Arabidopsis thaliana: one gene and its partners. The protein of the gene in region 3 purifies or fractionates together with the protein of the main gene of each other region. This does not show direct contact. Each region holds a gene or a part of one and is shown on either strand. Other genes may lie near its edges. The genes, in order: MURE, FLN2, PTAC3 and PDE312.

Region 1 (8,260 bases), on a different chromosome or scaffold from region 3:
TAAAGTAGTACATCTGCTTTTATGATTATTATTTATTACGTATAATATTTTGCTGTTATAGTCTTTCTTGACATTTACCAATTGGTTCTCGAGTCCTTAAATGAATATTATTAGTCTTATTTTCCGCAGATTAATCTTTATAAAATTAGTAACGTAAAGACTTGTATTGTTCCATCTACGTCTTAGTACGTGTATACACATGCACATTTAATATGTGTGTGTATATATCAAGAAGTTAATATCTGAATATCAAGGAGTATATAATTATAGAGTAGCCGATCCCAATACGGCATGTTCCATTTTTCTTTCTATTTTATGTGTTTGGTATTTGCTACCGGGTCTGTAATATCTTTACAAATGTTATTTTTAATAAGGTTATGCGTAAAATAATCTGAAATTTACATGTGTTTGTTGTTCTCATATTGATTAGTAATAATACTAGCTATTGACATGTGATTTGTCGTAGTTGAGATGGTGACATTGATTGCTTTAACTCTTAATTTTGTTAATTAGTACAAATGATTTTTATTGATGAATCAATCCACTCTTTTTCGTCTGTTTCACTTATTCCATGTTTACCCAAACCGGAAGTGTTGCTCTGTTCATCCCTTTATCGCCAGTAACGAATCTAACTCTTTAGTCAATATGACTTAGTTATTAAAATTTGAGATTGCATTCGTATTATTGTATAGAAATTGGTGGAACATAAATATGATTGTTTGACTTGTAACGGTATGCGTGTGGTTGTCCACTTGTCTTATGTTATTAATAATCAAATCCATCTAACTTTTCACCAAAGTTTCTCTCTGCCGTTCAATATAATATAATTATGTCGATTTGGCTACGCATATTATAATCCTTTATTCGTTATATAACATTAACATACGTGAACACAGTAGATGAATTATACTTAAGAGCTTGAGATAGTGTACCAACAAATTAAATTGTATATCACGCACATACATAACATTTTTCCTCGTTGACATATGAAGTCTAACATGCGTATGTATATAAATATTGTTCGTATAGACTTTTGGAGATCAAAAGAATAGATAAACTTTCAGTACTAACTGGAAAAAAATTTGTAAAGTTGCTTGGAACACCAGGAAACTGTCCAAGGGTCTTCCAATACTTTCGTATTGGGATAGGATGATCAGAAATAACTCGTTGTTTAATTTGGTACGAAAACAATTGTTCTAGAATGAAAAGTAAGTTTATGTGATTAACTGAGTATCAAACTAAGTGGTTCACTAAGGTTCTATTTACATTTCCAAAGATAGTATATGTGATTGTCCAAAAATTGTCAAGGGACACTGATAAGCGTCCAAAAGATCCAAAATAAGAGTAAAAAAAAAGAGCTTATAAGATGATATATTTCATAGTGAGAACGATAAAGCGTAGTTGTATTTGTTAAAATATCCAGTGTGAAGTGTTACATTATAAATGATGAATGTCTATCAAGTTTTCCATACATTTTTTTTCATAAGATCAAGAGAAAATAAAGAGAATTATATCTTCTTCTTTTTTAAAGAAAACACAATTAAGAGATAAATAATTAAATCATGTACATTATAGCATGTGTAGGTCACGTGTTATGAAAATGGGCTGAAGAAAGTGTAGAAGTGAGGCCCAAGACGAAGGGACCACAAAGGGTGTATTAAACCAACTCAACTGTACATGGCGGTGGTCGGTCCACGTTCCAAATTAAAGTGGCCATGTGGTTTTATCGTCTTCTATCAACGACCAAAATACGGCTCTCCAAATAAGAGAAAAACAAATACAAAACTACGTTATACTACTAACTGACTTTAGTGCAAAAAAACTTAATATAACTTAGGCTCTTAATGATCATGTACATGGCGGGACAGATTTGTATGCATAGCAGATAATATAATATCAAAAATCATGAAATTTTGGATGCAATTCCATCTCTTTTACACCCATTTCTCTACTAGGGCGTTAGAAAGTCTAACATTAGAAGTTGGACTTTAGTTACTCAATGCCAATTAGAATCTAAACTTCGGCCAACTATAGATAAAACCATTAGCTTTTTACAAAATCAAGAAATAAAATCAACCTCTTATGTCAGAAAACCAAGAGCCATCAATCTTTTTCTTCTATAAACAATTCAAATAAAACGTTTGTTTGGTTCTCTGCAACAACATAGCAAATTAGCAATCATTAAGCAATTTTGTCTACTCATCAAACAAAAATATTTCTCTGTAACGAAAAAAAGATAGTGGGCTAATATTATGGGCCATGAGACTGCCTTAGAAGCCCATCCTTTCACTACACACTTTGTAATATACATTAGAAACCCTATAAATTAATACTCGATAAATTAATAAACACGATAAATTAATAAATTTTGCCGGTCGAAGTCGGGCCAATGTAAAAATTAACGAAAATCGATAAGATAATAAAATAATAATTTTTTGAAACCCCTATGTAAAAATATAGTCCCAATAATATCATAAATTAATAATCATAAATCTTAAGCATACATTCTAAGACTAATTTTATATGAAACTTTTATTCAAGCTACAATTGCAACTCTTTTTAGAATAGAGTTGGTATGATCTCTTTTATACTCACATAATTCTTTGCGTATTTGATCCGTCATATTTGGTTTTGTAACATTTTTTCTATGAAAAACCATTGCTAAGATTTTTGTAAAGAAAAATTGATTTAACCTCCACGTTAACGTCGTAGATATAGAGACACTATATCTTGCAGAAAAATAAATTTAAAATATCAAAAATAAAATTAAAGATCTAACATAATTGAATATACAAATAACAAAATATGAGAAAAATACTAAATCGGAAAAGCATTTTTAAAATAATTTAGTATTGTGTTTTACGTTAATATTCTATTAATTACTATTTATTAATTTATAAAATAAATTAATATTATTATAAATTAATAAAAATTTATAGTCCAATCATTATTAATTTATAGAGTTTCTCCTGTACATATCTTTTAATCGTTTTTAGTACACACTGCACCGTTTTATCGGCGTCTTTGATTTCTTTAAACGCATCGTTTGTAACCCAAAAATGAAAAAACCCAACTCTTATCCCCTGGAAAAAACCTTTCACTGCTTGCTTTCTCAGTCTCTCTGTCTCCAATGGCGTTCACCTTTCTCTCTCCTCACCCAGTCTTTCTCTCTCTAACTGGAACAACCTCTTCCTTCTCCTACAAACCAGTTCTCTTACCATTCTCTCGAAATTCCCGTACTCTCACGGTTGCGGCGGGACCTGCTCGCCGGAATTCGTACCCGAACCCTGCTGATGACGATCCACCTGAAGCACCGGAGGATTCAATGCACGGAGTTTCGAAGTTTCAGCAGATCCAGCGTCAAGCTGCTCGTGCACGGAAGCTAGAGGAAGAAGATTTCGAGAAGAATCGGAACACTTATCTCTCCGCTATCGCCGATGTGGAAGACGCGGCGGAGACGGGACGAGATGACGAAGAATCTGGTGGAGACTTGTTCTCTGATATCGATAGAGCAATCTCCATGAAACGTAGTGAGTTTGTTAAGCAAGGATTGCTCAAACCTAATCCTCCCAAAACGGCATCGCTTAAGAAGATTGGGGAGGAGGGAAATGAGGAAGAAGGTGATGTTACTGACGATGTTGATGAGCTTGATGAAGAAGAAGTTGTTGATTTGGATGAAATTGATAAATTAACTGGATTAACAGAGATTTCTGATGAAGAAGATTGGGTTGATGAGGAAGGTAACACTAGGATCAACAAGAAGAAGGAGTTTGGGTCTGATCATCAATTTGAATTCGATTTGGATGATTTTGGTGAATCTAAAGCGAGAATCGTGGAACCTAAGTTCAAAATGTGCTTAGCTGAGCTTTTAGATGAGAGTAAAGTGGTACCAATCTCAGTTTACGGCGATTTAGATGTCGAAATCACCGGGATTCAACATGATTCGCGCGGTGTGAGCGCCGGAGATCTCTTCGTGTGTTGTTTAGGAAGTGAAAATTTCTTGAGTGAAGCAGATAAGAGAGGAGCAGTGGCGGTTGTAGCTAGCAAAGAGATTGATATTGAAGATACTTTAGGTTGCAGAGCACTTGTCATTGTTGAAGATACGAATGCAGTTTTAGCAGCTTTAGCTTCTTCCTTTTATAGGCATCCCTCGAAGAACATGTCGGTGATTGGAGTTACTGGTACGGATGGGAAAACGACTACTACGTATTTGATTAAGAGCCTCTATGAAGCGATGGGTGTGAGAACAGGAATGTTTAGCACAGTTTCTTGTTATATTCATGGCGATAACAAATTGGATACGCCTAATGCTACGATGAATCCTGATGCTGTTTTGGTTCAGAGTTTGATGGCTAAGATGTTGCATAATGGAACTGAATCTTTGGTTATGGAAGCTTCTCCTCAAGAACTTGCTTTAGGGAAATGTGATGAAGTGGATTTCGACATTGCGGTTTTCACAAATTTGACTAGAGAAAATACGGATTTTCGTGGTACTGATGAAGAGTATAGAGATGCTGAAGCCAAGTTGTTTTCAAGAATGGTTGATCCGGAAAGGCATAGGAAAGTGGTTAACATAGATGATCCAAACGCAGCATTCTTTGTCCAGCAAGGGAATCCTAATGTTCCTGTTGTGACATTTGCCATGGAAAACACCAAAGCCGATGTTCACCCGTTAAAGTTTGAGCTTTCCTTGTTTGAGACACAGGTTTTGGTTAATACCCCTCAAGGTATACTGGAGATCTCTTCGGGTTTGTTAGGACGGCATAACATTTATAATATTCTTGCTGCTGTGGCTGTTGGGATTGCTGTTGGAGCTCCTCTTGAGGATATTGTTAGAGGTGTTGAGGAAGTCGATGCAGTCCCAGGAAGGTGTGAGTTGATTGATGAGGAACAAGCTTTTGGTGTTATTGTGGATCATGCAAACACACCTGATGGCTTGTCAAGGCTGCTAGATTCAATTCGAGAGCTTAAACCGAGAAGAATCATTACCGGTATAGATATTTTCTTCCATCTAATAGATACTCTTTGCCTGTTCGGCCGTTCCTATGGTCTTTATATGTGTGGTCATCTGATTATTTTAGTTGTTTTATTTATTTATTGAAGTTATTGGTTGTGAGGGTGAGAATGAAAGAGGGAAAAGACCGCTTATGACGAAAATTGCTACTGAAAAGAGCGATGTGACGATGTTGACATCTGATAATCCGAGGAATGAAGATCCATGTAAGTAACTCTAAGAATTAGATTGAGTCTATCTCCCTTGAGTGTTTCTGGAGGTATATTAACAGTTAATTTTCCAATGTGGTTTTAGTGGACATCTTGGATGACATGTTGTCTGGGATTGGATGGACGATGCAAGAGTATTTGAAACATGGCGAACACGATTACTATCCGCCTTTGGCAAATGGTCATAGACTCTTCCTTCACGATATTAGACGTGTAGCTGTACGTTGTGCTGTTGCTATGGGTGAAGAAGGTGATATGGTTGTAAGTATTCAAATAAACCCACACTCTATACAGTACTTTACTGAGTGTGTTATCAAAGTTGCTGGATTTACCTTTATGAGCAATCAAAGTAATATAGTTCTCGGGTAAATAGCTTTGCTTGACACTGATTTTTGCAGGTTGTAGCTGGGAAAGGGCATGAAGCGTATCAGCTTGAAGGTGAAAAGAAAGAGTTTTATGATGACAGAGAGGAATGTCGGGAAGCATTACAATACGTTGATGAGCTTCACCAAGCTGGAATAGACACAAGCGAGTTCCCATGGCGGTAAGTAGAACCGTAACAGCTAAAACAACCAACGATAACCAAAGTTTCTAATCTGTGAAGAGTTGCTGAAACTTGTCAAGATGCTTCACGATCACTAATCTGTTCTTCCTTGTATTACTGTGCTTCTGCAGGTTACCAGAGAGTCATTAATATCTCTGTGGTGAAATCATTAGAAGAGAAGTTAGCTTAGTCCATGAAACCAGATTTTCTTCCACCATGGTCCAATTCTCTTGCGAAGATCGATTTGCACAGAGGTAATGAATTCTACACAAGTGACATAAAAATCATGCCCAAGGAAAAGAGATTACACCACTGGGAGGTACTTAACGTTCCAATCACCATTACCTTAAAGTTATTCCATTGCTCACTTCACCTGTTTTTTTGGACAAGAGGAAACCTAAGCTATCGAAATGTAATATTAGACTAAACTTAATTCAGATTTTCTGTCATTGTTACCGCAGGAGGAAGATTTTAAAGGTGGAAGAAGATGCGTACAAATTTTGTAAGGGTTAAAAACCCAAAAATGTAAGTGGTTCTGTTTTGGGTATGTTTTGATAGCATGTGTTTAATTTAGATGAACCAATTCAAACCGAACCAACAAAAATAGATTCCGGTTTAAATTATTTATTTTCTTACATGTATCCAAACTTGAAAAAAGTGAATTCAAAGAAAAAAGAAAACGATGAAAATACGGTTTCAATTTCTTAATATGAAAAATTGAGAAAGTAGGAAGACATGATTGAACAATAATAAGATTAGGCCTTGTGATATATTGTGACAAGAACATAAATTACGAATGTTTGGCAATGGTGCTAGGGAATATAGTCTTTTGAAACTATTAAGCATACTTTGAATTTTATATTCTGGTTATAAATTAAAAGATTTCCCAATATCCATTCGTATTTTTGGGACCACTCCACCAAAACCAATCTAATCAAAATATAAAACCAAATAAATAATAATTTGCTTAGAGATAGAAAACATGTTATGTCCGAGGAAATTGTCCTAAATGTCGCAACAAACGTCAATTCATTAATCGTTTTGTTTAATACAAATTTCGACAAGATTGTGATAGATCCAGAACCAGTTTAGCTAAACCGGTTGAATCAGAAGAAACGCCAAAACCCGGTCCAATAGCTCGACCTAACGCCGTCGTTTTCAAAGTTCCTTCACTCTACTTCCTTCTCGCTTACGTCACTTTCCACAGATCCAACAATGATATCAGATAAAATTAAAATATTCCCAATATATTTTCTAAGAATATCTCCCTATTTATTTTTATTTATTTAAACTATTTTAATCTCTTCCGTGTTTCACTCTTCTCTCTCTCTCGCTTCTCTTCATTGTTTGTGTGTGATTACAGCGAAGAAGAGAGAATCCTTGGAGCATTCCATGGATTCGCTTCGATTTCTCCGGATTCTTCTTCTATCATCTTCGATTTTACTCTTATCTCTCCGTTCTACAGTCACCGCCGGTGATATTGTTCATCAAGACAATTTAGCTCCGAAGAAACCAGGTTGCGAGAATGACTTCGTTTTGGTACTTATCTCCACTTAAATCTCTCGTTTCTTACTTCGAATTCAGCTTCCTCTTCACTACTCTCGATACTAATGTTGTTGTTATTCCCCTCTTTCTGGCTTCTTCTTACGAAGCTCAACAAGTAGTTCCAAAAAAACGAAATCGGAGGTTTCTAATTATACATGCTATTGAAATTTCGTGATTGGAGTTTAAGCTTACTGATTAGCTTGTGTAGTTGATCTAAGTTATGGATAAGCTTAAACTCTTAGTTTAAGTCTAATTATGAGTCGTTCATGTTTAAATCTGATATGAGAAGTGTTTGATAAATTGGATTAAGATCTGGTGAAAGTTTTATGTGTGTGATTTGTTGTAACCTGGTTCTTTCCTTAGGTGAAAGTTCAAACGTGGATTGATGGTGTTGAGAATGAGGAGTTTGTGGGGGTTGGCGCTAGATTTGGGAAGCGGATAGTTTCCAAGGAGAAGAATGCAAACCAGACTCACCTTGTTTTTGCAAATCCTCGTGATTCTTGTACACCGCTCAAGAACAAGGTTTTTATGACCTATGACATTAGAATCAATGCATTTTAAATTAGTTGTGATGTTGAAAGTAAATGTGTTAACTTATGTGTTCAATCTTTGTTAGCTTTCTGGAGATGTTGTTATTGTGGAACGGGGCAACTGTCGGTTCACAGCAAAGGCGAATAATGCAGAAGCTGCTGGTGCCTCTGCTCTGCTCATCATCAATAATCAGAAAGGTATTTTGTTTTGTTGAAATTGTTTTGATGTTATTATAGCAATCAGTTATATTTGGGTATGCTTACTATCACAGACAATATTGTTTGTAGAATTTAATGGTTTGTATGTTTGTTTGTCTCTGACAGAACTTTACAAAATGGTTTGTGAACCGGATGAAACTGATTTAGATATACAGATTCCTGCCGTCATGCTCCCGCAAGATGCTGGTGCATCCTTGCA
Region 2 (6,961 bases), on a different chromosome or scaffold from region 3:
TCCTCTTAGCACAATTGCTAGAAGATTGAATGGAACAAACGGATTTTGTAACACTCGTATAAATAGTATCCCCTTAGGTTTAATAATAAATACTATTACAAGTCGTGTCTCTGTGGGAAATTCGAAAAAGCATGGCGAGATACCAAAATCTCTTTGTAGCTGCTTTGTTCCGAGCTTCTCGCCGTTTTACCAAACCGGCGACTTGTATCTCCGTTAGAACTTTTTCTTCTTCCTTACTACTTCCAAAGACGACGACACGTCTTACTCTTCCTCGCTATTTTCCTTTCTCTTCTTCGATCTCTACGTTTTCTTCTTCGTCTTCTTCTCCTTCTCCTTCAGCTCGACCGCCAAAAACCGCCGGTAGTAATGGCGACGAAGAAGACACTTTTGAATGTAAGATAAAATAAATAAACCTTGTTTTCTTTGACTGCCTCTCTGTTTTCTGGGTTTTAGGATTTGTTTACGGTCTTTCTGTGTGTTTGCCTTTTTCTTGTCTTTAAGGTGTTTGTTAAAATGTCTCCTGCCTAAAAAATGTATCTTCTCAATGTTGCTTGCTCTCTCGCTTCCTTGACCTTATGATTTTAATGCTTTTTCTTGTCCTTAGAATCTGGTATTTCATAAAGGTCATAAGATACTAATTGGTCTCATAAAACATTGCTTCCAATCAAATTGGCAGATAAAGCAACTGATGATGTTGAGGTCATAGAAGATTGGGAAGAAGACGAAGATGAGGATGTTGAATCACAGGTATATCTCTTTCTACTACATTTTCACGTCAAAATCGCCACTCTGTTTCTTAGATTCTTATAAGCTAATCTTTCTTCTGTTTTACAGCTTGGTGATGGAGGAGATGGTGGTGGAATTGTTCTTAAAGGTGTAGCATGGGGTGAAAGAGTTCTCTCTATAGCTGCACAAGTTTTGAAGCAGTCTGAGAAAGACTTGGAATTGTTTGCTTTCAAAACTTCACCGCGTGGATATATATACGTCAGACTAGACAAACTCTCCACTGAGTAAGATTCTTCACCCTTCTATATCATCAAACCATTGCAAAAGAGCAGTATGTTTTGAGAATTAACGAAAGCTTCTTCTTTTTTATTGTACAAAAAAGATATGGATGTCCTACCATGGATGAGCTTGAGGAATTTAGTCGAGAATTTAAGAAAAGACTAGATGATGCTGGGGCTGAAAAAGTAATCCCAGAGGATCTAGCCCTTGAGGTCAAAAAGAGTCTTTCCCCAGTGAATCAACTCTCACTTGGTTCAGTTTTGTTACAAAATTTTGTTTCCGTTTTTTTTTTTTCTGTGTAGGTGTCATCTCCAGGAGCGGAGAGGCTACTGAGAGTCCCAGAGGACTTGCCCCGATTCAAGGATATGCCAATGACAGTAAGCTATGTAGAAGAAACAAACTCGAGGAAAGCAGTAAAGAGTGGAGTGTTCCTCTTGGAGTCTATAGATGCAGAATCAGATAACTGTGTCTGGAAATTAGCAGATGTAAGGGAGAACAGAGATCCCGAAAGCAAAGGCAGACCGTTAAGCCGGAAACAAAAGGACTTGAGAATCACACTGCCTTTCGCAGATCACAAGAAGATAAATCTCTACTTGGATTAGTTAAGTAGACGTAGAAGTAGAGTTGCTATTAAAGTAAGTTCATCGTCACTGCAGTTTCACATTGCTGTTTCCGGATAATTTCAAGTGATTTTGTATTAGTTGAGATGGTGAGTGAGATATCAAAACATATGACAAAAATTCACACTACTAAGATGTTGTAAGATGTGAACAGGAAAAAAAAGCTGACTAACAGAAACATTATCAAATCTTATGAAAATCATAAACTACCATCTTCAAACATTGAGCCAACAAGCTCTAACTTCTTGTACTCCCTTTCCTCTACTGGTTTCATAACGTATGGACCATCTGGTTCATCATAAGGCTTTGAGGTTCTGTATTCCTTCTCTGTTATCGATCTTATACCGTTTGGATCTGATTCCACTTCATCTTCTTCTTCATCATCTTCTTCTTCTTCCATGTCATCCTTTGGAGGATATCCTCGGGTTTGTGCCAGCAACCATTGATCAATAATACCACACTCAATTGCATATCTCGCTGTGCGTTCCAGGTACCCTTTATTGTTCATAAGATCTGGCTGAACCGTAAGCATTCTTATTAGACCTGAAATAGAGAGTAGTGTGGTTCAGTTAATCGCAAGCATAACTTCCAAATTGCTATGAAAAACAAATGACACAAGTGAAAATGTACCTGCAACGATGCCATCTCCAGATGCTGACATATCCCTTGTAAAAGGAGTAATGGGAACATCCTCCATTCCGGAAACAGCACCATTGTGCTCTTTGGTATAGTAATGGATCTTAGAAGTGCCATTGGTCACAAACAAGACCTTGAGATTTTCATGCCAAAGCTGTTCCACAGTTTCTGGCGGGTAATGGACAAACTTACTGATGTCATTGTTTTCTGTATCGAACTCTTCAGTAGGCTCGATTCCGCATAAGAATTCAAGTTCCTGTTTTGTGATTTCAATGACGTCTGCAAGATTCCACACTTCCTGTATGAAAGACTTGGTTTCTTCGCTGGAGTGCCATAGTGGTAAAGGGAGATTCAAGTCATAAAAAATGACATTGCCTAGTTGCTTTGATATCTTGATGGCTTGTATCGTAGTTGACATCATCTTCTTATCGAGTAGAGAATGCGTGCTGAAGTAGAACATTTTCGCCTGCACCAAAGTTAAGAGATTGGTGAACAAGAAAAAGAGCCAAAAACTCAATGTTCCAAATCTCCAGGACAATATATTACCTCTTTGAGCACATCAACGTTGATTTCAGATTTTGAAAGTGAATCCTCTGCACATGGCTTAATACAAGTCGATTTCAAGCGACCTCTCTTGCTGATCTTCATAGTAGAACACGCCGTAACCCTTTTACCATCAATCTTAACTGATCTAGTTTGGACTTTGCACACATTCAGATAATACAACATGGCTTGACCATAGTCATCAGCCCCAAGTTTGCCCATAAAAGCAACCTTACCACCCAAGCTTGCAAGAGCAATAGCAACACCTCCTGCACATCCTCCAGGAGCCCGGATATACTTCTCTGGAGCCCACTTTGCATCTCTCATCCGTTCGTGTAGTTCATAATCTAATAGCCTGTTTGCTGGCCTTCCCGAAGGCACAAAAGCATGTTGTGCAGATCCAAAGCAACACACGAGAGGAGGCCATCCATAAGTGTGACTAATATCTTCACCTTCATGTTTACTCAGATCAATCTCTTCTTCTTCACTCTCTGTATCAGTGCTTTCAACAGCCAATGCTTCCTCGACATCACTAACCTCAGCATCCATAATAGTAGCTAAATCATCCTCCACATCTTTATCTTTCTTAACAGTCCTCTTTCGTCTCACTTTCTTCTCGGTTTTTACTTCCTCCACATCAGAAGAAGCTGCTGCAGCTGTATATATGTCGAATTCAAATTAAGTACTCGTGAATCATCAAGTGAGAACCATCAGCTCAGAAATGGTAAAAGTCATTACCTTTCTTTCTAGTTCTTGTCTTTTTTGGTTTCAAAGCTGAGACAATGCTTTCCTTGTCTAAAACATCATCATTATCAACCAAAAATTCAGAAATTTCTTCTAATGGTTCATCCTTAACCACAACCTTCTTCTTCGTTGTTCTCTTAACACTTTTAGATGGTTTCTTTCCCACAACCGCACCGTTTCCATCATTACCTTCTTCTTCAAGAGGTGCTGACTCTGATAACTTTCTCCTACCAGCAGCCATAGAAAAGCTTTGTTTCCCATTCCATCTTTCACCTCTAAACTTCACAAAACCATGCGACTGGAGCAGACAAGGAACATCTGCATTGCATCTGCCAAAATCAAAGCACAGCTATGAGAAAACCATTACATCAAAATGTGAAATTTTCAAACAGAAAGACAAATATAGCCCTCAATTCAAATCATTGTTACTCCATTCTTCTGTAGAAAGATAAGATGAGCTAAACTTAAAGTTCGCACATTTTTGGGCAGTAAACTGGTTCTACGCCAAATCCATAGAAACCCATATACTAAAATTTCCTAAGGTTAGAAAACAAGAGAGAGAGAGAAGCAAAGGGACCTGGGGAATGATAAGAATTGGGTGAAGGAGAGAGACGCCATGAACATCAAATAAGAGCTCTTTTCCAAACGAAATTGTAGTAAAACTAAGCTCCGAAACCCATAAAGTCGAAAGAAGCGTAAACCCAGAAATGAACAAAGGAGAGCAATATGTTTATGAGTTTTGAGGGAGATTGGGGTTTAAGCTCTGAAACCGCAAGAGGAGCTAGCTGGGAGAGGATGAGGAGGAGGTTTAGCGCTTTAACGAAACGGCAAGCATTCTATGATCAAAATACTAAAACGTCAAGATGTCCCTATTCTGTCTACTATAATTTATTTACGGCTCATTTTTCTTCTTTAAAGCTAGTGAATTTAGTATTGTCTATATGACATTCTTTTAATGTAGGTAGAAATATTTGTTATGTAAAGTTTTTCGTGAAATCGTTTGCTATTAAAAAACTACTTCAAGGAAAATATTTTGTTGTGAAGTTAATTGGCTCATCATCACAAAGCTACAAAAAACTTACGATTAACTGAAATCATAATTACTATGATGATTTACGAGTAAATGATTTGATTGGCATAGAAATAATGCCTAAAGATGGTGTGATGAAAAACTTAATACAATTCTAACACGAGGATATATATATATATATATACTGTATATTTATTTATTTTTCGTCAAAAAATATAGACTGTATATATGTTATGGTAAAACGGCTATTTTTTGCTATATAGTGAAAATAATATCGTCTGGAGTTATAATAATTAGAATTTTGTATGGTTAATTAATTTCTATTGGTAATGTAACCATGAGTGCCTTGAGTGGAATGAAAGAAAATTGATGTAGTCAGAACAAATCTATGAAAATTTTGATATTTTTTAAAAATGGAATGAAATAGCTGGAGACTAACACACAATTTTCCATCATCTATCCAAATATATGTTTAAATGGTAAAAGATAGAATAGATAATGAAAAGAATTATGAGAGATTCACTACCAATTTCAAAATTATGAGAGATTCATTACCAATTTCAAAATCTCTCTAAAAACAAAGTTTTCTTCTCTTTTTTCTTTTCTTTTCTAGATCTTCATATCTAATTCAAAAGAGAAGCTGACTTTTGACGAGCGTGAAAGACAGAAGGTACTTGGATAACACAACAAGTTCAGAAAAAAAGTAGGTGAAAATTGGCTACCACCTTGCCTCTCTCATACATAAGTATTGTTTACTTCCTTGGTTCTTAAAATATTAGAACCCATTTTTTGTGTTTCTAATAATTGTTTCGTTGTTATCTAAGACTAAACTCATAGTTTTGTATACTTTAAGGTCAGATCGAAGCAGACAATACTGATATTTTGGAGGAACCTATTCTAAAATGGGTTCGTATCTTTTTCATCCGTTTCATTTTCGTTGAAAAAAACAGCGTTTACGTTTTGATACACTAATTTCTGTTAAGTATTGAATCATATTTCACCTTCGAAACATGTTTTGTATATGACTCAGATTTCACATCTTTGGAAACAACAACTTTCGAAGAAGTCGTGATAGCTTTGGGAAGCAATGTTGGAAACAGAATGAATAATTTCAAAGAAGCTTTACGATTGATGAAAGACTATGGGATCAGTGTAACCAGACACAGTTGTTTGTACGAAACAGAACCTGTTCATGTGACCGACCAACCAAGATTTCTCAACGCTGCAATAAGAGGTGTCACAAAGCTCAAACCTCATGAACTCTTGAACGTTCTCAAGAAAATTGAGAAAGAGATGGGTCGTGAAGAAAATGGTTTAAGGTATGGACCAAGACCACTTGACTTGGACATATTGTTCTATGGAAAGCACAAGATAATTTCTGATAAACTTATCATTCCCCATGAGAGAATCTGGGAAAGACCATTTGTTTTAGCACCTTTGGTAGATTTGCTTGGAACGGAAGATATTGATAATGATAAAATAGTTGCATATTGGCATTCACTCTCAATGCATTCAGGTGGAATTTTCCAAGCGTGGGAGCGGTTAGGTGGTGAGTCATTGCTTGGAAAAGACGGTATTATACAAAGGGTTATACCAATAGGAGATCATTTATGGGATTTTTCTAAGAAAACTTATGTGATGGGTATACTTAATCTTACTCCTGATAGCTTTAGTGATGGAGGTAAGTTTCAATCGGTAGATACCGCGGTTTCTCGGGTCCGGTCTATGATATCTGAAGGTGTAGATATTATTGATATCGGTGCACAGTCAACACGGCCGATGGCCTCAAGAATATCTAGTCAAGAAGAGATAGATAGACTGATTCCGGTTTTAAAAGTTGTTCGCGGTATGGCAGAGATGAAGGGAAAGCTCATATCAGTGGACACTTTTAACTCTGAGGTTGCTTTAGAAGCAATAAGAAATGGAGCTGACATTTTGAATGATGTATCCGGAGGAAGTTTAGACGAGAACATGCATAAGGTTGTTGCGGATTCTGATGTTCCTTATATGATCATGCACATGAGAGGAGATCCATGTACAATGCAAAACAAAGAGAATTTGGAGTATAATGAAATATGCAAAGATGTTGCCACAGAGCTTTATGAGAGAGTAAGAGAAGCAGAACTCTCTGGGATTCCAGCTTGGAGGATTATGATTGATCCAGGAATTGGATTTTCTAAGGGAATAGATCATAATTTAGATATTGTCATGGAGCTACCAAAAATCAGGGAAGAGATGGCTAAGAAGAGTATAGGATTGTCTCATGCACCTATACTTATAGGACCTTCAAGGAAGAGATTTTTGGGAGATATTTGTGGTCGTCCTGAGGCAAGTGAAAGAGATGCTGCAACTGTTGCTTGTGTTACTGCTGGGATACTAAAAG
Region 3 (9,231 bases):
GTCGATCATCACTATACTTAAAAACCTCCTCTTTAATATAGTTTTTATGTTCTTTGTTGATTTAATTTAGACAACTAAGAAGCTAAGAGAAATGAAAGTGACGTCAATGATCGTTGGGGTAACGTCAGTAGCTGACCAAGAAGAAGAGCGTAAGGCTTTTATGGAAGCTGGGCTCAACCATTGCTTGGAAAAACCCTTAACCAAGGCCAAGATCTTCCCGCTCATTAGCCACCTCTTCGATGCTTGATGGATGAAGGCTCATTAATGTATCTATATTTTCAATCATGAAATCACCTACACGTGTATTTGACACAAAAATCTGCATTTGTTGTGATATAGGGTTTCTCATATCTATGTTTGATTTATTTTCTTATCGTCCGAGGTAAAATCATGCAAGTCATTTCTTTTGGCTAATAAAATATTAAAATAAGGTTTTCTCTTGTTGAATGAGCTAATTTACTTCATATGGCTCATGCAAATCTCCATATCAGTTAACTTTAAAAAAATTATACATAGTTTCGCGATAAATTCTAAATTTTAAATAACTATCACATTTACTAAAAATAAAATAATGTATGTATGTAAATATGTAATGTAACTGGCTAATTTAATTGAATAATTATAATACTTACAAAAATAATATATATCGCGAATCTGACTATATTTATGTTTTGTTTATCTTATTCAAAAAGATGAAAATATAAACACTTTACTAGCTATATCTATTTTCTTTTCTCTATTTTTCAAAAACATAATTTACATAATATTTCATATTATTTCAATTCCAGTTTACGTTCCATATTTTTAATGTATATATATTTTATTCTTGTTCTTCGCATATATACGTCATATTATTTTGTCCAATACTATATGTCATTAAGAAGATAGGGTACTACTACTGGGTACATCATATCTTACTTTGGATTTGATAAGGTTTGTGTAAATAAGAGTAAATTCTATTTTCAACGGCGTGTATCATCTTAGCCAAATTTGATTAAGCATTGTGTGCTATACACTCAGAAAGTACCTATACTAATGTTGCACTATAAATAATAATTATTACAAATTTTTAATCAAGAAACTAGCTATGGGTCTAAAGATCAGAACATAAAATGTAATTTTTTTTTCTTCTAATTTTGACTTTATAACACAATTTTTTTGGACATCTTTTTATTTATTTATTTAGAAACGTTAAATTTTTATTTGATATCTGTTTTGAATTAAATCAGAAAAAGAACATCAAACAAAAATTTAACGTTTCTGAATTTCTTTGGTTGTGACCACATTTCTTGCAGCCGTATAACTCGTGACTCTAAATCTTAAAAGCTTTGGTTGTGTAAGTGTTTGAAGTGGAGTTATATTCTACACTTTAATTTTGAGTTGTTTTGTTTGAACTCTATATCTGTACTTCACTTTTCAAAGCATCTACTATGTCTCTCTGGAAAGTTCAAATTTGTTATATATAGGCAAACCAATTCTTCACTTGGCTTTTCAGGTGTATTGGTTTGATTCGGAAATGCTTGGGAGGTTGAACCGAAGAACAAAGGATTGATGAGTTCGAATATTTTCTATATATACCATAGCTTTTTGAGATTATGATTTGTTTAGATAAACAAGATCGTGTTGTGTTATTTGTCTCTGCTTCTTTATTTAACATACGTATGGCATCGTAACATCTTCATATGTTTGTAAATACAATTATTTTCACTTTTGTTTTGATATTACTTTCGAAAATATATGAAAGTGTTATCTATAAACTATATCAGGAATCAGTGGTTCAACAATTAATGATATCCAAGAAAAACGCTGTGTATTATAATGTGGATTACGAAAGTTCTGACAAAATTTGTGTGAAATTTTGTATGTCCGCTTTTTCTGTTTTCTTTCTTATGCATTTTCGATCATTTTATCTGAAATGTGTTACAATTAAACTAAATATTCCTCTACTACATAACTCAAGCTCACATTTTTTTTTTTTGTTACTTCGGCGCAAAGTCTTCAAACACTAATTAACAAGATTTCCCGTGTGGATGCTTAGCATTTTTCTCCACCCTAACTAAGATGGAAAAATTACTCATACCAGTAAACGAAACTATTCGTAAAAACTGATTTCCTTTTTGTAAGTGTAGAACAAATAATTTTTTTCACCGACAACTTCCATTTTTTTACTATCTCTAAAATTTTCAACACGTATTCCAAGTATTTCCTTTTATTTTGAGTAATACTCTTGTTTCCAAAAATAAGAGTTAACATGATTAGCTTATATACTTGATCTTTTGGGTTCTTGTTGTGATTATATGAATGATGAAGACAAAGAAGAAAGAATCGAGAGGAGAAATTGGGAAGAACATGTCGTTGATATATAAGAAGAAACTAACGGTGTTGGTCGTTGACGATGATCCATCTTGTCGTACACTCCACATGGGAATCATTCAAATGGCTGGAGGATTCCCTTACATGGTGAAAAACGGCGAGAAATAAGAAGCTACGTGACATGAATGTGACGTCAATGATCGTGGGGATGACGTCACATGAGGACGAGACTAGGGCATTCATGGAAGCTGGAGTTGACCACTGCTTGTCAAAGCCCTTAACCTTTGGAAAGATCGCATCCATCATTGACCATCTCAAAACCGCATAATCTACCGATTAACAAAATATTACTTGGTTTAGTTCGGTTATGTGACTACTGATATAAATCTTGTTCAATGCAATTTGGTCTAGTTCGGTTCTGTCTGGTTCAATCCAATTAACTCACGTGATCTGCACATGATCATCGTCTACATTTTAATTAAATAAAAATCTAAATTTCAAATCACTTTATCCATTCCCCAGTAAAAAAAAAGTTTCAGACTTTGGCAAAAAAAAAATGTCACTCTTGTTCCTCAATCCTCCGTTTCCCTCCAATTCAATCCACCCAATTCCTCGTCGTGCCGCCGGAATATCCTCCATTCGATGCTCAATTTCTGCACCGGAGAAGAAACCGAGGAGGAGGAGGAAGCAGAAGCGCGGCGACGGAGCTGAGAATGACGACTCTTTGTCTTTCGGAAGTGGTGAAGCTGTCTCCGCTCTGGAGAGGAGTCTCCGCCTCACTTTTATGGACGAGCTTATGGAACGAGCTAGAAATCGAGATACTTCAGGTGTTTCTGAGGTTATCTATGACATGATTGCTGCTGGGCTTAGCCCTGGACCTCGTTCTTTCCATGGTTTGGTTGTAGCTCACGCGCTTAACGGCGACGAACAAGGCGCGGTATATGCTTCTCTCTATAGCTTAAATTAAAGACGTAGACTTTATGTTTTTAAGAAATCATACAATGCTGGAGCTTAAACTAAATCGAATTTGAATTGTTGTGCTTTATAGAACTTGAGTTATGGTTTAAGACTTTACAAATTTTTTGTATCAAAATTAGAACTTTACTCTTTCTCATAGCTTATTGAGTGTGTTTGAACTGAAAGATTGCTTCTTTTTTTTTTGCTTGGTGTGTGTTTGTGTGTGATTGCAGATGCACTCGCTGAGAAAGGAGCTAGGTGCAGGCCAACGTCCGCTTCCTGAGACTATGATTGCTTTGGTTCGTCTCTCTGGTTCGAAAGGGAATGCTACGAGAGGCCTAGAAATCCTCGCCGCTATGGAAAAGCTTAAGTATGACATTCGTCAAGCTTGGCTCATTCTTGTTGGTATTCTCTCTTACTACTAAGACTATGTGTTAGAATCAAATGGTTGTTGCTTGTGTCTACCAGGATTGAGGTTACTGAGTAATCGTTTATAATTTGATTGTGGTCTTTTATAGAGGAGCTCATGAGGATCAATCACTTGGAAGATGCGAATAAAGTTTTCTTGAAGGGTGCAAGAGGTGGGATGAGAGCAACAGATCAGCTTTATGATTTGATGATTGAAGAAGATTGCAAAGCTGGAGATCATTCTAATGCCTTAGACATCTCTTACGAAATGGAGGCAGCTGGTAGAATGGCCACAACATTTCATTTCAACTGTCTTCTTAGTGTGCAGGTTTGTTATGTTTTTTTTTAGAACGTATACACACACTTCTTCTTTGTATAATGAAGATGGTAAGTCTTTTTGTTGACATCAACTACATTTTTCTTTGCTTCCGTTGTGTAGGCTACATGTGGGATTCCCGAGGTAGCTTATGCTACATTCGAAAATATGGAGTACGGTGAAGGTTGTATGTTTTTCTTAGCTAATTTCCGCTTCAATTGTTTGGTTTAGTTGTTGCCTGATGGCTTTTGACATGGCTTGATGTAATCTTGATTTGGTAGTATTTATGAAGCCTGACACTGAGACATATAACTGGGTGATTCAAGCCTACACTAGAGCCGAGTCATATGATAGGTAATTCTTATGAGTTTTTGATTGCACACATTTCTCTTAGAAGTGGACAAATTTTCAGGTAGCCTGTTGCATGAATCACAGGGTTCAGGATGTTGCTGAATTACTTGGAATGATGGTTGAGGACCACAAACGTGTGCAGCCAAATGTGAAGACTTATGCGTAAGAGAATCATTATTTCTGTATTGTACTCATTTCTACCAACTTTGCATTTCTACCTGTTCTATTGTAAAAATCCTAATATGATCTGTATGATGATCCATTTCAGGCTCTTAGTTGAGTGCTTCACCAAATATTGTGTCGTGAAGGAAGCGATTAGACATTTTCGTGCTCTTAAAAACTTTGAAGGAGGAACAGTAATTTTACACAATGCAGGGAATTTTGAGGATCCTCTCTCTTTGTATCTCAGGGCTTTGTGTCGAGAAGGTATGCATACACTTGTACCTGTGTCAATATAATATGCAGAGGCATATGTTGAACACCTTCTGGGAGATCATGAGAACTTATGATTAAAACGATTTATGATTATGGTTCTCTATTTCCCTTATTTCTGTTTTTATACTTAAGCGTTATATTTGTTGATTTTTAGGACATGCTAAATTTACTGTCTTTAAACGGTACCCTCTACCTTTGAACCAGGAAGAATTGTTGAGCTTATTGATGCTTTAGATGCAATGCGCAAAGATAACCAACCTATACCTCCAAGAGCCATGATTATGAGCAGAAAGTATCGAACACTAGTCAGCTCATGGATTGAACCATTGCAAGAAGAAGCTGAACTTGGCTATGAGATTGATTATTTAGCGAGGTAAAAACTTGAGTTCTGCGTGGTTTGACTGGAATTTTGTTGATCAGATTCTATCCTCCCATTTACAAGTTATACGCTAATGCTCTGTTCTAATTGTCAGAAAGGAAGTATAGTGTCTTTTTTTACATGTTGTCTTGATATACTAAGATTCGCATTCTGTAAACATTTTCAGGTACATAGAGGAAGGGGGACTTACTGGTGAACGCAAGCGTTGGGTACCTCGAAGAGGGAAAACTCCTTTAGATCCCGATGCTTCTGGTTTTATATACTCAAACCCTATTGAAACATCCTTTAAACAGAGATGCCTTGAAGATTGGAAAGTTCACCATAGGAAGCTCTTGAGAACCTTACAGAGTGAAGGTCTTCCAGTTCTAGGAGATGCATCAGAATCTGATTACATGAGAGTGGTGGAGAGATTACGGAACATAATAAAAGGTCCTGCACTGAATCTTTTGAAGCCGAAAGCAGCAAGCAAGATGGTTGTATCAGAGTTAAAGGAAGAACTCGAAGCTCAGGGTTTGCCAATTGATGGAACAAGAAATGTGCTTTACCAGCGTGTCCAAAAAGCAAGGAGAATAAACAAATCTCGAGGTCGACCTCTTTGGGTTCCTCCAATTGAAGAAGAAGAGGAGGAGGTAAATTTATGCTTATGCTCTTTCTTTCATTCGGGTAAACATGCATCTTTAGTACTTGTTACATCTAAAAAAGTTTGTTTTTGATATAGGTCGATGAAGAAGTAGACGATTTAATATGTCGAATCAAGCTACATGAAGGAGACACAGAGTTCTGGAAACGTCGGTTTCTTGGAGAAGGCTTGATTGAAACTTCAGTTGAATCCAAGGAAACGACTGAATCAGTGGTTACAGGTGAATCGGAGAAAGCGATTGAAGATATTTCAAAAGAAGCTGACAATGAGGAGGATGATGATGAGGAGGAACAAGAAGGAGATGAGGATGATGATGAAAATGAAGAGGAAGAAGTGGTTGTTCCAGAAACTGAGAATCGAGCAGAAGGAGAAGATTTAGTGAAGAATAAGGCAGCTGACGCGAAGAAGCATCTTCAAATGATTGGAGTCCAACTCTTGAAAGAATCCGATGAAGCAAACAGAACAAAGAAACGTGGGAAGAGGGCATCTCGTATGACACTTGAGGTTAGTACGTATAACACACTATGATATGGTTATGATTTAAGTAGACACATGATTATGAATTTGATAGTTTAAGCATGTTTTCACAATGCCGATTACCTCCATATCAGGATGATGCAGATGAGGATTGGTTCCCTGAGGAACCATTTGAAGCATTCAAAGAAATGAGGGAAAGAAAAGTGTTCGATGTGGCTGACATGTATACAATAGCAGACGTTTGGGGTTGGACATGGGAGAAGGATTTTAAGAACAAAACTCCAAGGAAATGGTCACAAGAGTGGGAAGTCGAGTTGGCAATTGTGCTCATGACAAAGGCAGGAGTTCCTTCAAGCCTCTAAAGCATTATTACACAAATTGTTTTATGATCCTTCATGTTAATAATAATGATAAATTTGTGTAGGTGATTGAATTGGGTGGAATTCCAACGATTGGTGATTGTGCAGTGATATTACGAGCTGCTTTAAGAGCTCCCATGCCTTCAGCCTTCTTGAAGATCTTGCAGACGACACACAGTCTTGGCTACTCATTTGGCAGGTAACTCAGTTACAACCTCTCTTTGGGTTTAGTCTGTTAGAGAAGCTAGTCTAAGGCGTTCGATATGACTAAACTTGACTATAAACAATGACATTTGAATACACGTGGTAAAAATCTGTTGCAGCCCGTTGTACGATGAGATCATCACATTGTGTTTGGACCTTGGAGAACTTGATGCAGCCATCGCCATAGTTGCAGATATGGAAACCACAGGGATCACTGTCCCTGATCAAACCCTTGACAAGGTCATATCTGCTAGACAATCTAATGAGAGTCCGCGGTCTGAGCCTGAAGAGCCAGCATCAACAGTAAGCTCTTAGTTATCATATCCTCTTCTGCTTGTTGTGAAGTCTCTATAAGAAACAGAAATCGGTAGAAGGAGCTGAATCTGTCTTAGTTATGAAAGTTTTGTTCATTATAAGTACAAGTCATGTAGTTCCGAGTGTAGAACAGTTTTTACTAGTGTTGCACCAGGTCCCTCCAGTCTGATACTTAATTCTTTAGTGTTGGATCTTTCTATATAAGAAACGCAAATAGCAAGACGCAGCTGAATTGGTCTTACTAACAAACGTTTTGTTCACGAAAAAGATAGGAAGAAACAAATGAACGATAGTAACAAAAGTTAGAAAATCCTCATCATATTGCATAAGATAGGAAGAAACAAAATAAGGATAGTAATCTTATTCAATGAGAAAAAGAGTGAGTAAACGAAGGAGGCTAAATTAGGCTTTAAAATTCGTTTGCTTCTTCAGACCCTCGAGGACTCGTTTTTTCCATTTATTATCCTCCTGCTTGGTTCGCTTTATAAAGGCGGCAACTCTCAACATGTTTTGGTCATATCGACGCTGTTCTAGAATGGGTTTTCGTTTCCTTTTGCCTCCCGGAGGTTGTTTGATTTGCATTGAATTTGGAACGTAAGGGCACAAATGTGGCCTACACTTTATGCCGGCTACATGTACTCGGAGATCCAATTCTCTAAAATATCCAGTTTTTCCAATGATGTTGACTCTGTGGTGATCAAAAACCATGGAGACTTTCTTCTCCTCGTCAATGAAGAAACTCCCATGTATATATGCAATCGGCATGTCAGCCAATGGTCCTGTATCCATTTCCAAGATCTTGCTCCACGACACTTTATCATACTCGATCTTAGTCGTGATCCATATCTCAAACTCATATGGATTCCAGTCGTTGTGCGTAAGTAAAGCCGCAAGCTTCTCTTCTCTAACACAAGATAAAGTCACATAGTCATCATGGCCAGCGCTAAACGGTAGACGCAAAAGTGGCCCAAATCTCTCACTTGTGAAATCAAAACAGATTATGTGATCGTCGATTTTGTTTATTGCGTTACTTTTTGTAGCACAAAAGTAGGTATTTCCCTTGAGAGAAACACCACGCTGATAACACGATACTATCCAATATGGAGGGACATCAAGAGTTGTCCATAAATCGGTTTCAATATCGTAGATTTCATACCATGAAAACCGGTTTTCGGGTGCGTGGTTCACGGCCGAAGAGATGTAATGATCTATAAACCTCAAGACTTTGTGGCTACGACAAGAGTTGTTCTTGTTCACGTACCCTAGAGCGTACCTGTACATGTCCATATCCTGTTCTACGCGGTGCTGCTTCTTTACTAATGTGCAGCTTCATAAAGCTCTGACTTTGGGATAAAGCGTACAACGTTTTGCAAGTTAATTTCAATGTCCTCATATACTTCATGGGAAGTCTAGATACAATATCCTCTATCAAATCCCTTGGAAGATTTAAGATCATCGTTGTCGTTTTCTCAAGTTGCAACAAGGTTTTTTTTTTTTTAACCTTAAAAAAGTGTTCTTCTTTTCCTCTGATTTTTTTCCCGCAGAAGACTATACATAGGAATTTGAAGTTGGGCCCAATCGTGGGCTTCAGAATCTTCTCTTGTTTTCTTTTTGGTAATCACATTCATAACATCCAAGTTCTTTACCAACAATGACCATTTGTATGGGGAGAGCATCAAGTTTGTATGAAGCTGGGCTAACTATGGGCTTATTGGAATTTAAAACAGTATCTTAAATTCCATCTTTAATTGAAACATTTGATAAGTGGAAGCTGCCAAAACACGCGTCCATCTTTAATTAAAATCAAATGTGAATTGTTTTCATTTTTGTGACATTTAATATTTACTTCTAGAAAAAGAAGATCAAGTAAACATGCAGTTAAGTTCAAATAAGATTAGAATTGTGATACCCTTGAATTCGATTTAGTATGCAATTTTTTTGTATTTAAAGAAAATATATTGGAGTAGACAAAGAGAGGAAGATATTGTAAATTTTTTGTTATTTTCTTTTCTCAATATATTTAAGGTAATTAATCAGGATTACGTTTTATTGTTGGCACATTTAATGCCTTTGCGGC
Region 4 (8,192 bases), about 17 Mb from region 3:
GATACGTGGGACATCTATATATCATCTATGCCATAATAGAAATGCCACATGGACCAATGTTTAACTATGTGTAGCTGTGTTTTTGGAACTTAAACATCAGTTCCATTTTTTGACAAAAAAAGAAGAAGACGTCAGATTCAAAACATTCAAATCAACGGTGTGTACCAAATTCCAAATCGTTAAGTTAATGAGAAACTGATTTTACCATCTCCGGATAAGAAATAGCGCTACAAGACTAAAATCAAAGACATTGTATGATACTATAATCGAGTTTTTAAGGGTCAAATGAATAGTGTTTAGCCGGGGACTTTTCTTTTATAAATTGTTTTTTAGAATCTTTTTGAATTTATTTTTCGTTATATATAATCAAATTAATCAAAACATAAATAAATTAAGAGTTTTAAATAGCAATACAAGTCTACCTACATTGGACATAAATTGTATAATAATTTAGTTAAGAATTTTAAGGAGACTTTTCTTTTGTAAATTGTTTGTTAGAATCTTTTAGTATTACTTAATCTTCCGTTACTATTGTTAATGACCTAACTGATCAGAAGCGGAGTACTGAGACGTTGCAAACACCATCCTTAAACCGTAAACAATATGTATGAAGATTGTTTTTGGTTGTATAAAATAAAACAAGTCAACGGACGATTTAAACAGAATAATAAAATTGGGCCGAAGCTTATTAGCCTTTTAAGGCCCACAAAGAAGAGCGAAAACCCTTAACGAGCATATACAACTCGGAGCACCTCTTTTCTCTCGCTCTCTTCCTCTTCAAGGTTTATATTTATAACTTCTTTTGCTGCTCTCAACGAACTCTTCCAGGCTAATAAACCGTCTCTGTTTTCATCTTCTCCGTAGCTGAGATAGCTCCATACCCTCTCCGACCCAAGTAAACTGATTTTCCATGTTATGGAGATTTGGTTCTCTAACTTATTGCTTTAGAGTTTTGATGTCATTGTACAAGTTTAATGCTATTATTTTTGTGAATTAGGTACAACCTTGCAGAGTAGCTTTGGTAAGAGTTTGCCTTAAGAGTTTTGTCATCAAAGAGCACACATGGTGTGAAGTTTTTGGTATACACGGAGAGATGACAAGGGTTTTTGATATTCCAGGTACGAACGAGAAAGCCTTTTGATAGAAGTTGATGTTTTGGAGCCCAAACAGAAGAAACAAGAGAAACATTTAGGCGTATTTTGCGGTGTCAAGACTACCTTCTCTGACGACGATTGATAGAAAAAACAAAAAACGTCACGTTCCTAACGTTCAACGGTGTACTACAAGATCCCAAACGTCTGGCTAAGTTAATAAGAAACTGATTTTACTATCTCCGGGATAAGAAGAAATGAAAAAAAAAAACTATCAAATAGATCAAACCTAACAGACAAAAATTCAAATAAATCAACCTCGACAATTTCTTATTTTTACTTTCCTTTTAAACATCAGTCTGTCAAGACTTGAGTACCGTTAACAAGAGGTTGCTGTTCCGAGTAACCGATACTGCTCTCATCACTCAGAATGCTATAGTCAAAATCGTCAAAATCATCGTCATCCTCTTCTTCTTCCTCTGACTCTGTTTCTTCTTCTTGACTCGCCAAGGTAGACCCTTCTTTTCTTTTCTCTATTGTCTGCTTAATCGCATCATCGTAAGACATGTCATACCACACATTGCCTTTCCCAACAATGGATTTGTTGTGTGCATCCTTCATTCTCTCTTGCTTGCTAATCTCTGAGTTCTTTGGCTCTCCCCAGTAGTCATACTGATATAATGCACTTGTTGGATCGTACTGGTCTTTCCCAAAGAAGCTTCCTGGCTTGTACCTCCCTGGTTCCTCCAATGGTAAACCAAGTGCTTGCCGACTGCAAAATAAATCTTCTTCATCTAAACACTTTCTTTGAAAAACATCAAAGTGAACTTTTTTTTACTTACGAGCTGATATCTCTGAGCAATGCTTCTCTTTCCTCCAAAGATCGGCGCCAGTGTAAGAAATCATACTCGTCCATCTCTATATTTCGTCTGAGCTTGTCAATTTTGTATCCTTCTCCTCTTGCTTTAGCTTCCATCATTAGTTTATTGTGGTGCTGCACAAGACAACAGGAGAGTATTGAGTTATTAACCACTATCAGTATAAAAGATTCATACAACAATGTGTCAATTACAAAGTGCAAAGCCTTAAAATGGAACTGTGACGACAATCGGAGTTACCAAGACAGTGTGAAGTGGAAATCTATTAAAAATAAACAAATACAAACGAGAATATTTCCGTAGCAGTGGGTTAAAGGAAATTGGTGACGACAAGTAGGGAAGAGAATTTAAACCTGGCGCTCGGTCAATGCAGCCTCTAAGTCAAGTTCCTTGACACTGGTTTTCTGCCAGAAATAGAACACATTTAATCACAAAGCTTAAGACAGTATGGTTTCACGAACACACCAGAAGAAACTCTCACCAGAATCACTTTTGGCAATTTGGTTTTCTTATAATAAGCTTCGCCATACTCGATATCCTTTTGTTCATCAAAGTCTTCATCATCAGATAATTCTGATAGCTTTTTGCCTTCGTATTTTGCAGGGTTAGCTTCGTAATCACCCAAAATCATTTGCTCAGCTACATGTATCTGCCACAACTGCAAACGGGAAAGAAATGTGTTGACGGTTTCACAAAATTTAGAAAGCCAATAAACCTAATGAGTAAACAAAGCAAAAATCACATAACCAACCCTTTTGCTCAGGAAAATACCTTGTCGACATAAGGGTGATCAGAGAGCAGCCCTTCCTCCTCTGGCTTTGATCCTGGATCTTTTCTAGGTTCAGGAGGTCTTCCACAATCTCGCTGTACAAACAATGTATTAGATAAGAGGGAGACTCTTCACGAGAACACGAAATGGATTGATATTCTAGGAAAGGATTCTACTGACCCGTATCTCATCTGGATTAGTATCCCCATCACGATGGAATATTGGTGGGAAGTCAAATTTATTAAATCTGGAGCAGGAATGTAAAAACAGTCAACACATATACCATAACCAAGACCATTGAGGACAGAACCAAAATGCCAATTTTTACTGGATATGTAAAGAGAATTAAATACGTGTGAATTACATACATCATGTGATCTATGTTAGGATGGACGAAGCGCAACTCCAAGGGAAACCGAAACCGGTATGGATCTCTTTTTGCCTGAAAGAACAAAAGAAAAAGGAGAATGAAGCAATTTCCATTCAGATTTTTATAAATGCGAAAGAAGAATATGTGCCTTAAGATTACCGTGATTTCAACGATAACATGCATCCCAACTTTTATGAAATGCCGGATCCAAAACCAGTCATTACCTTTTATAGGTACCCATCTGCAAACCAATAGACACATAAACTTACATCTTTCAAAAAAAGCATATGAAACAAGAGACAACATTATATTACGTTATATACCCTAAATACAAGAACCACGGTAAGTCTATCTTTACAAAGTAAAGAGACATAAACATACCCTTCATGAACACCTCCAATGTCAACAAACGCTCCCTGATACAGATGTAAAGTGGTAACTGTGCCTTCACAAACCTGCATGGACATTACGATATTGCTCATTTAAACCAATCATTAGTTACAATATACAAGGCTTAGAATAAGAATTCTTACCATCCCTGGATAGTAAAAGGGAAGCTCATACTGCACAAAGAAAAATAAAGCAATTAACTTACAAACAGTTCATCATCTAGCAAACTAATCAAACAATCAAATCCAGTAGCATAATAATATTTACCATCCCATCTTCGTAATCCTTCCCTCTTTTCCTCCTACCCGGATAAAAATCCTGATCGAGCTGTATAAATAAAAACATCATCTTTATTAGAATCCTTCTCTTAGCCACCACTAAGCTAACAATATCTCATTGTTCAAAAAAAAAAACGAACCTTGTAAGATTCTTCCTCCAACCTATCTTTATTATCTTCAACCCATTCCTTGTATTGTTTCAAGAAAACCTTAAACCTCTCCAAACACATCTTATCAACAGTAGCATCTTCACCAACTCTCAAATCCTTATCCAAATCCTCAAGCCAAACTCTTTCAGCCATTAACTTATGAGCTTCCCTAATAAACTCCAGCTCCTTCCTATCAACTTCCCAACCTCTGGGAGGCCAATCACGCGGCGGAATTTGCCTAAGAACCATCGGACCAGCCCAAGATGTTTCTAAAGGAGGTGGTTTATCACCTCTAATCTCAAATTGCTTTGCATACCATTCGTCTTCTGTTATCCCCATCTCCTTAATCTTCTTCTTCCTATACGATGGTCTCAGCATCTTAAACGCTTCGATCGCTTCCGGCGATTGAAGCGGAACTTCTTCACCTTCGTTGAGAGATTTACGAGCGAAATCAGCTTCTGGTGTGAGAATCTCTTCCCATGGAGCCCAACCACGTTCGATCCAGTTACGTCGTCGAGCTTCATCTTCTGTGTCTTTGTCCTTTGGTCCGAATTTCTCGAGGAAGGTTTCGTCGACTGGGAATTCATCGGAGCTGAATCCACGACAAGGCAGCAAGGATATGCGACGAGGCGGTGACCATTGAAGAGCTTTGGGTTTGCAGAAATTAGGGTTTGTGGGATTAGGGAAAGTGAAATTGAGCTTGGTTTGGCAAATCTGCATGATTCATTCGTCACTCTTCAGGGTTTTTGAAGGTTTAAGAGAGAGTGAAGAAGTTGAGTATGGATAAGCTTTATTTCATTTTACAGTGAAGAAGAAATGTTAAGTTTTTTTTGATGAACCCTTATATTTATCCAATATATTGTTTTGACCCCAAATGTTTTTGATTGATCAGTTAGACCCATTTTAATATAAGGTTTAGACGTTTAGTTATGGATGAACCCCTACATGACCAGTACTATCAACACCGTTGGTTAAAGATCATAAAGCTTGTTTAGGCTAAAGTAATAAACACATGATTGAGAGATGTTTTGATACAGGCATCTATATAGACTCCTTACTAACAATGTAGTTAAATTGTACATAATCAAAGTACAACACACATGAACTTGGGATACATTTGTTTACAAATCATTCCTGAGTCTCTGTCTTCATGTTTCGTGCTTGAGCTTGATTCTTGTACTTGCTAAACATGGATAGTACTGATGGGTTCTTGCTCTTTATCTGTTTCGAGCTTTCACACGAGTCTATAGCCATTGCATCATGAGTGTCTCCTAATTGTGTATCCGAAGACAAGACATGAGACGATGATGTTGATGACAGATTCTCTTCACCTTCTGTTTCTGATGAAGTAGTGTCCTGTCTTGTTGACCCTTGCTTAAGTTTCAACAGTGTTGACTCTACAATGCCATCAAAAGAAACCAAGGATTTCAAAACCTAGAGATTTCTATTGGACAATCAGAATCACATGAAAATGGAAAGAGTGTGTATTTATTATACCGTAGACGGAGAGAGGATCGTCTTTGATGATCTTCGCCGGATATCTCTCCAGACAATCCGGCGGCGACGGCGGTGGTCTCAGCCTCCCAAACATACGTCTCTCTCTCTCTCTCTCGAGTCAATTAGATCTGATCGTCTTCTTTGAATTGACAATCTGAAAGATGACAACATATAATCGATTCTTTGTGTTTTGGCGCCTCGATCGATAAAAAAGAGCGGGAACCTGAGACCAACAACGGCCCAAATAAATGCTGTTATAATGGGCCCTTCGCTCTTATTATGATTTTATCATTAATCACGTTTTTCATTATTATAAACCAAAAAAACTTTTTATATAAAATAACTAAAATAGATAAAATTTCCATCAAATCTAGTATTAATAGAGAAAATATATTAAACGTAAATATTGTTTAGGATATTAACTTTTTATTTATGAACTTGTTTTAGGATAATTGATTATTTCAGAAAATTACAATACTAAATAGCATGAAAAGATATAATTTGATCAAATCTCTTACTGTTTATTATGTACACATATATTAAATTTATAATCTACTTTTTTTTTACATACCATTATGTTACGTAGATTTATCAGCAAAAGCTAGATATTATTGAGAAATAAATTTATGTGAAATTCAGTATTTAAATACACCTTAGTAAATCCCAATAACACATATGAATAAGAATATGTTTCTTCACAGATGATCTATGGACAATTATACTTGCACAATTACCACTAAAAATGATCACGACTTCTAAACTGGTTTGTAAGCAGTGGAAATCTATTATCGAGTCTCCACATTTTCGTGTCATGTTCATGTCTCTGCACCATTCTTCTTCATGGTCGCTCATGTGTAGGCGTTACAAGATAGAACTTGTGGCTCATCATAGATGCAACACTTGGGGATTTAATCGTACCAGTACTCTTACATCTCGTCTTTTATGACCGATAAATTCGAAATGAACATATACCGAGAAGCCAAAGTTGTTCCTTACAACACCGATATGGGGTTTATTTTGATCGATGTCGAGTCTATCCTCAGGATCAATCGTTATACCTAGCTAATCCAATTTCACATCAATGCTTAGAAATCAATCGTCGTGCTCTCGAGCATAATTTTTTCTGTCCCTTGGGAATAGTAACACAAACTAAAAACGGCGTCGTTTTGAGTTACAAAGTTGTTATGTTTGATGAAAGGCAAAAAAGATCCATAATAACGAAAATAAGTTTTCAGTCCAGATATATTCGTCCGAGACACGGTTGTCGAGTCTCAACACTATCCATTTTCTTTTCTCTTTTTCGTTCAATCGTGATTTTTACCATCCCATTAGCTTAAACGAAAATCTTCATTGGCTCGTTCGCAATAGTGAGGATACAGAAGTTGTTATATCCATCGACTTTTACGCTTTTGAAACAAATTCTGATAAGTGTCGGGTTACTCATTTCCCTGATTTAGAAAAGCATCGCGAATTCATAAGAACATGCACAACTAGTCAAGGATTTCTCATGTATATGAACATAGTCTCTGATGAAGGTTTAGATGCTAAGTTATGTGTATGGAGGCTAAAGAGTGGAGAATGGCAATTAGTATCTGAGATCTCCCCGACTTTTATTGAAACTCCTTTCGATTATTTACCGCTAACGATTGACCCTTTTGATGCTAATATAGCATACTTTTGGAGTTCGAAACACCAAACTTTGCTATTTATTAACTTACTCAATGGAAATTTTGTGATCCACAGTGAATTAGAATATACCAAGCAGAATAGCATTATAAGTTCCTGTAACAGTCCGATACTTATGAGAGTACTCACCCAACATATACGATGTTGCTTGCTCGTTCTCCCACAATGGATGTATCGGATCCCCGACCCATGATGACAACATGAGTTTAGATATGTAATATTTACAATACTTGACTTGTTTATTTTTATCATTATTACTGTTACTTTCTTATGAAAAGAGGAAGAAGATGTAGCTTGGTTTACTTTTGAGTGTTAAGAAAATGTTTATAGGGCAAAACAAAATATACCTAATAAATTTAAAAAAAAAAAAAAAAAATTACAAATAAGTGTTTGATTCTATATTTTCCCAAAGCACCTACACAGAAATATTTTCTTAAGAGAAAAAATTCAAAACAAAATTTATAAAGGGTTCAATAAATTATATATCACAGAAACCAAAGAGACACTAAATCATCTTGACCGTTGAATCGTTGTCTATTAAAAAGTAAGTAAAATCAACGGCCAAAAGAGTCTTTACGTAATTCGTCTGCTAATATTAAGCGAAACAAAAAGTTTACAAGAGAAGAGGGAAAATAAAAAGCAAGGCAAGACAAAACACTCAGAGCTCTCTGTACCAAATTTCAATGTCAAGAAGACGAAGTAATCGTGTTCGAAATACTAATAGTAAATACGTCAGCAGTCCTGCTCGTGTTACTATTATTGATGGTAAATTCCAATTTCCTTCTCGATTTTTATTCATTTTTTTTTCTGGGGGTTTTTGAAAGATTTTTAATTTCTTGGTTTAACGCAATTTTGGGAGTTAGGGTTTTGAAGATTCGATGAAAGTTTGTGTTTTTTTTCTTTCTGGAATTTTCAAAGTGACGAGATTGTTTCTATTCCTGTGTCGTGGTGATGCTTACTATCTTACCATGTGTAATTTTGAAATTCTCTCTAGTAATTGGCTTAGATTTTGGATTTTTATGACAATGAAATCTATGGTTCTTGAAAATGTATATATATTTAGTTCTGGTTTTGTAGTTTGTGA

The links.
Region 1: the proteins of PTAC3 (region 3) and MURE fractionate together in Arabidopsis thaliana (co-fractionation; one large-scale study listed by BioGRID). This does not show direct contact.
Region 2: the proteins of PTAC3 (region 3) and FLN2 fractionate together in Arabidopsis thaliana (co-fractionation; one large-scale study listed by BioGRID). This does not show direct contact.
Region 4: the proteins of PTAC3 (region 3) and PDE312 fractionate together in Arabidopsis thaliana (co-fractionation; one large-scale study listed by BioGRID). This does not show direct contact.

The regions. Positions count from the first base shown.
Region 1 is NC_003070.9:23,611,331-23,619,590, forward strand, and holds MURE (ALBINO OR PALE-GREEN 13), read left to right. Parts: upstream 1-3,009; 5' UTR 3,010-3,130; coding exon 3,131-4,991; intron 4,992-5,103; coding exon 5,104-5,220; intron 5,221-5,308; coding exon 5,309-5,484; intron 5,485-5,621; coding exon 5,622-5,767; intron 5,768-5,898; coding exon 5,899-5,917; 3' UTR 5,918-6,086; exon of another isoform or gene 6,087-6,228; 3' UTR 6,229-6,582; downstream 6,583-8,260. Other genes in the region: SPPL2 (SIGNAL PEPTIDE PEPTIDASE-LIKE 2), read left to right, coding at 7,160-7,306, 7,676-7,834, 7,929-8,040, 8,167-8,260. UniProt on the Arabidopsis thaliana protein: Involved in chloroplast biogenesis. Required for thylakoid membrane development. Seems to be required for plastid-encoded plastid RNA polymerase (PEP)-dependent gene expression.
Region 2 is NC_003070.9:26,013,229-26,020,189, reverse strand, and holds FLN2 (fructokinase-like protein), read right to left. Parts: upstream 4,167-6,961; coding exon 4,126-4,166; intron 3,878-4,125; coding exon 3,543-3,877; intron 3,461-3,542; coding exon 2,808-3,460; intron 2,728-2,807; coding exon 2,256-2,727; intron 2,169-2,255; coding exon 1,825-2,168; downstream 1-1,824. Other genes in the region: AT1G69210 (Uncharacterized protein family UPF0090), read left to right, coding at 132-393, 677-747, 835-1,010, 1,109-1,217, 1,308-1,607; AT1G69190 (Dihydropterin pyrophosphokinase / Dihydropteroate synthase), read left to right, coding at 5,481-5,484, 5,609-6,961. UniProt on the Arabidopsis thaliana protein: Required for proper chloroplast development, most likely through regulating plastid-encoded polymerase (PEP) dependent chloroplast transcription.
Region 3 is NC_003074.8:1,121,154-1,130,384, reverse strand, and holds PTAC3 (plastid transcriptionally active 3), read left to right. Parts: upstream 1-2,803; 5' UTR 2,804-2,869; coding exon 2,870-3,250; intron 3,251-3,503; coding exon 3,504-3,675; intron 3,676-3,788; coding exon 3,789-4,006; intron 4,007-4,117; coding exon 4,118-4,178; intron 4,179-4,275; coding exon 4,276-4,348; intron 4,349-4,429; coding exon 4,430-4,507; intron 4,508-4,613; coding exon 4,614-4,771; intron 4,772-4,984; coding exon 4,985-5,153; intron 5,154-5,325; coding exon 5,326-5,788; intron 5,789-5,877; coding exon 5,878-6,303; intron 6,304-6,410; coding exon 6,411-6,614; intron 6,615-6,700; coding exon 6,701-6,834; intron 6,835-6,958; coding exon 6,959-7,154; 3' UTR 7,155-7,437; downstream 7,438-9,231. Other genes in the region: RR22 (response regulator 22), read left to right, coding at 71-247; AT3G04270 (two-component response regulator ARR22-like protein), read left to right, coding at 2,302-2,481; AT3G04250 (F-box associated ubiquitination effector family protein), read right to left, coding at 7,557-8,435.
Region 4 is NC_003074.8:17,958,662-17,966,853, reverse strand, and holds PDE312 (Nucleic acid-binding, OB-fold-like protein), read right to left. Parts: upstream 4,692-8,192; 5' UTR 4,646-4,691; coding exon 3,917-4,645; intron 3,826-3,916; coding exon 3,766-3,825; intron 3,672-3,765; coding exon 3,642-3,671; intron 3,564-3,641; coding exon 3,490-3,563; intron 3,350-3,489; coding exon 3,107-3,349; intron 2,986-3,106; coding exon 2,919-2,985; intron 2,834-2,918; coding exon 2,741-2,833; intron 2,628-2,740; coding exon 2,451-2,627; intron 2,374-2,450; coding exon 2,323-2,373; intron 2,086-2,322; coding exon 1,934-2,085; intron 1,864-1,933; coding exon 1,446-1,863; 3' UTR 1,241-1,445; downstream 1-1,240. Other genes in the region: AT3G48490 (uncharacterized protein), read right to left, coding at 5,054-5,322, 5,423-5,516; AT3G48480 (Cysteine proteinases superfamily protein), read left to right, coding at 7,792-7,873.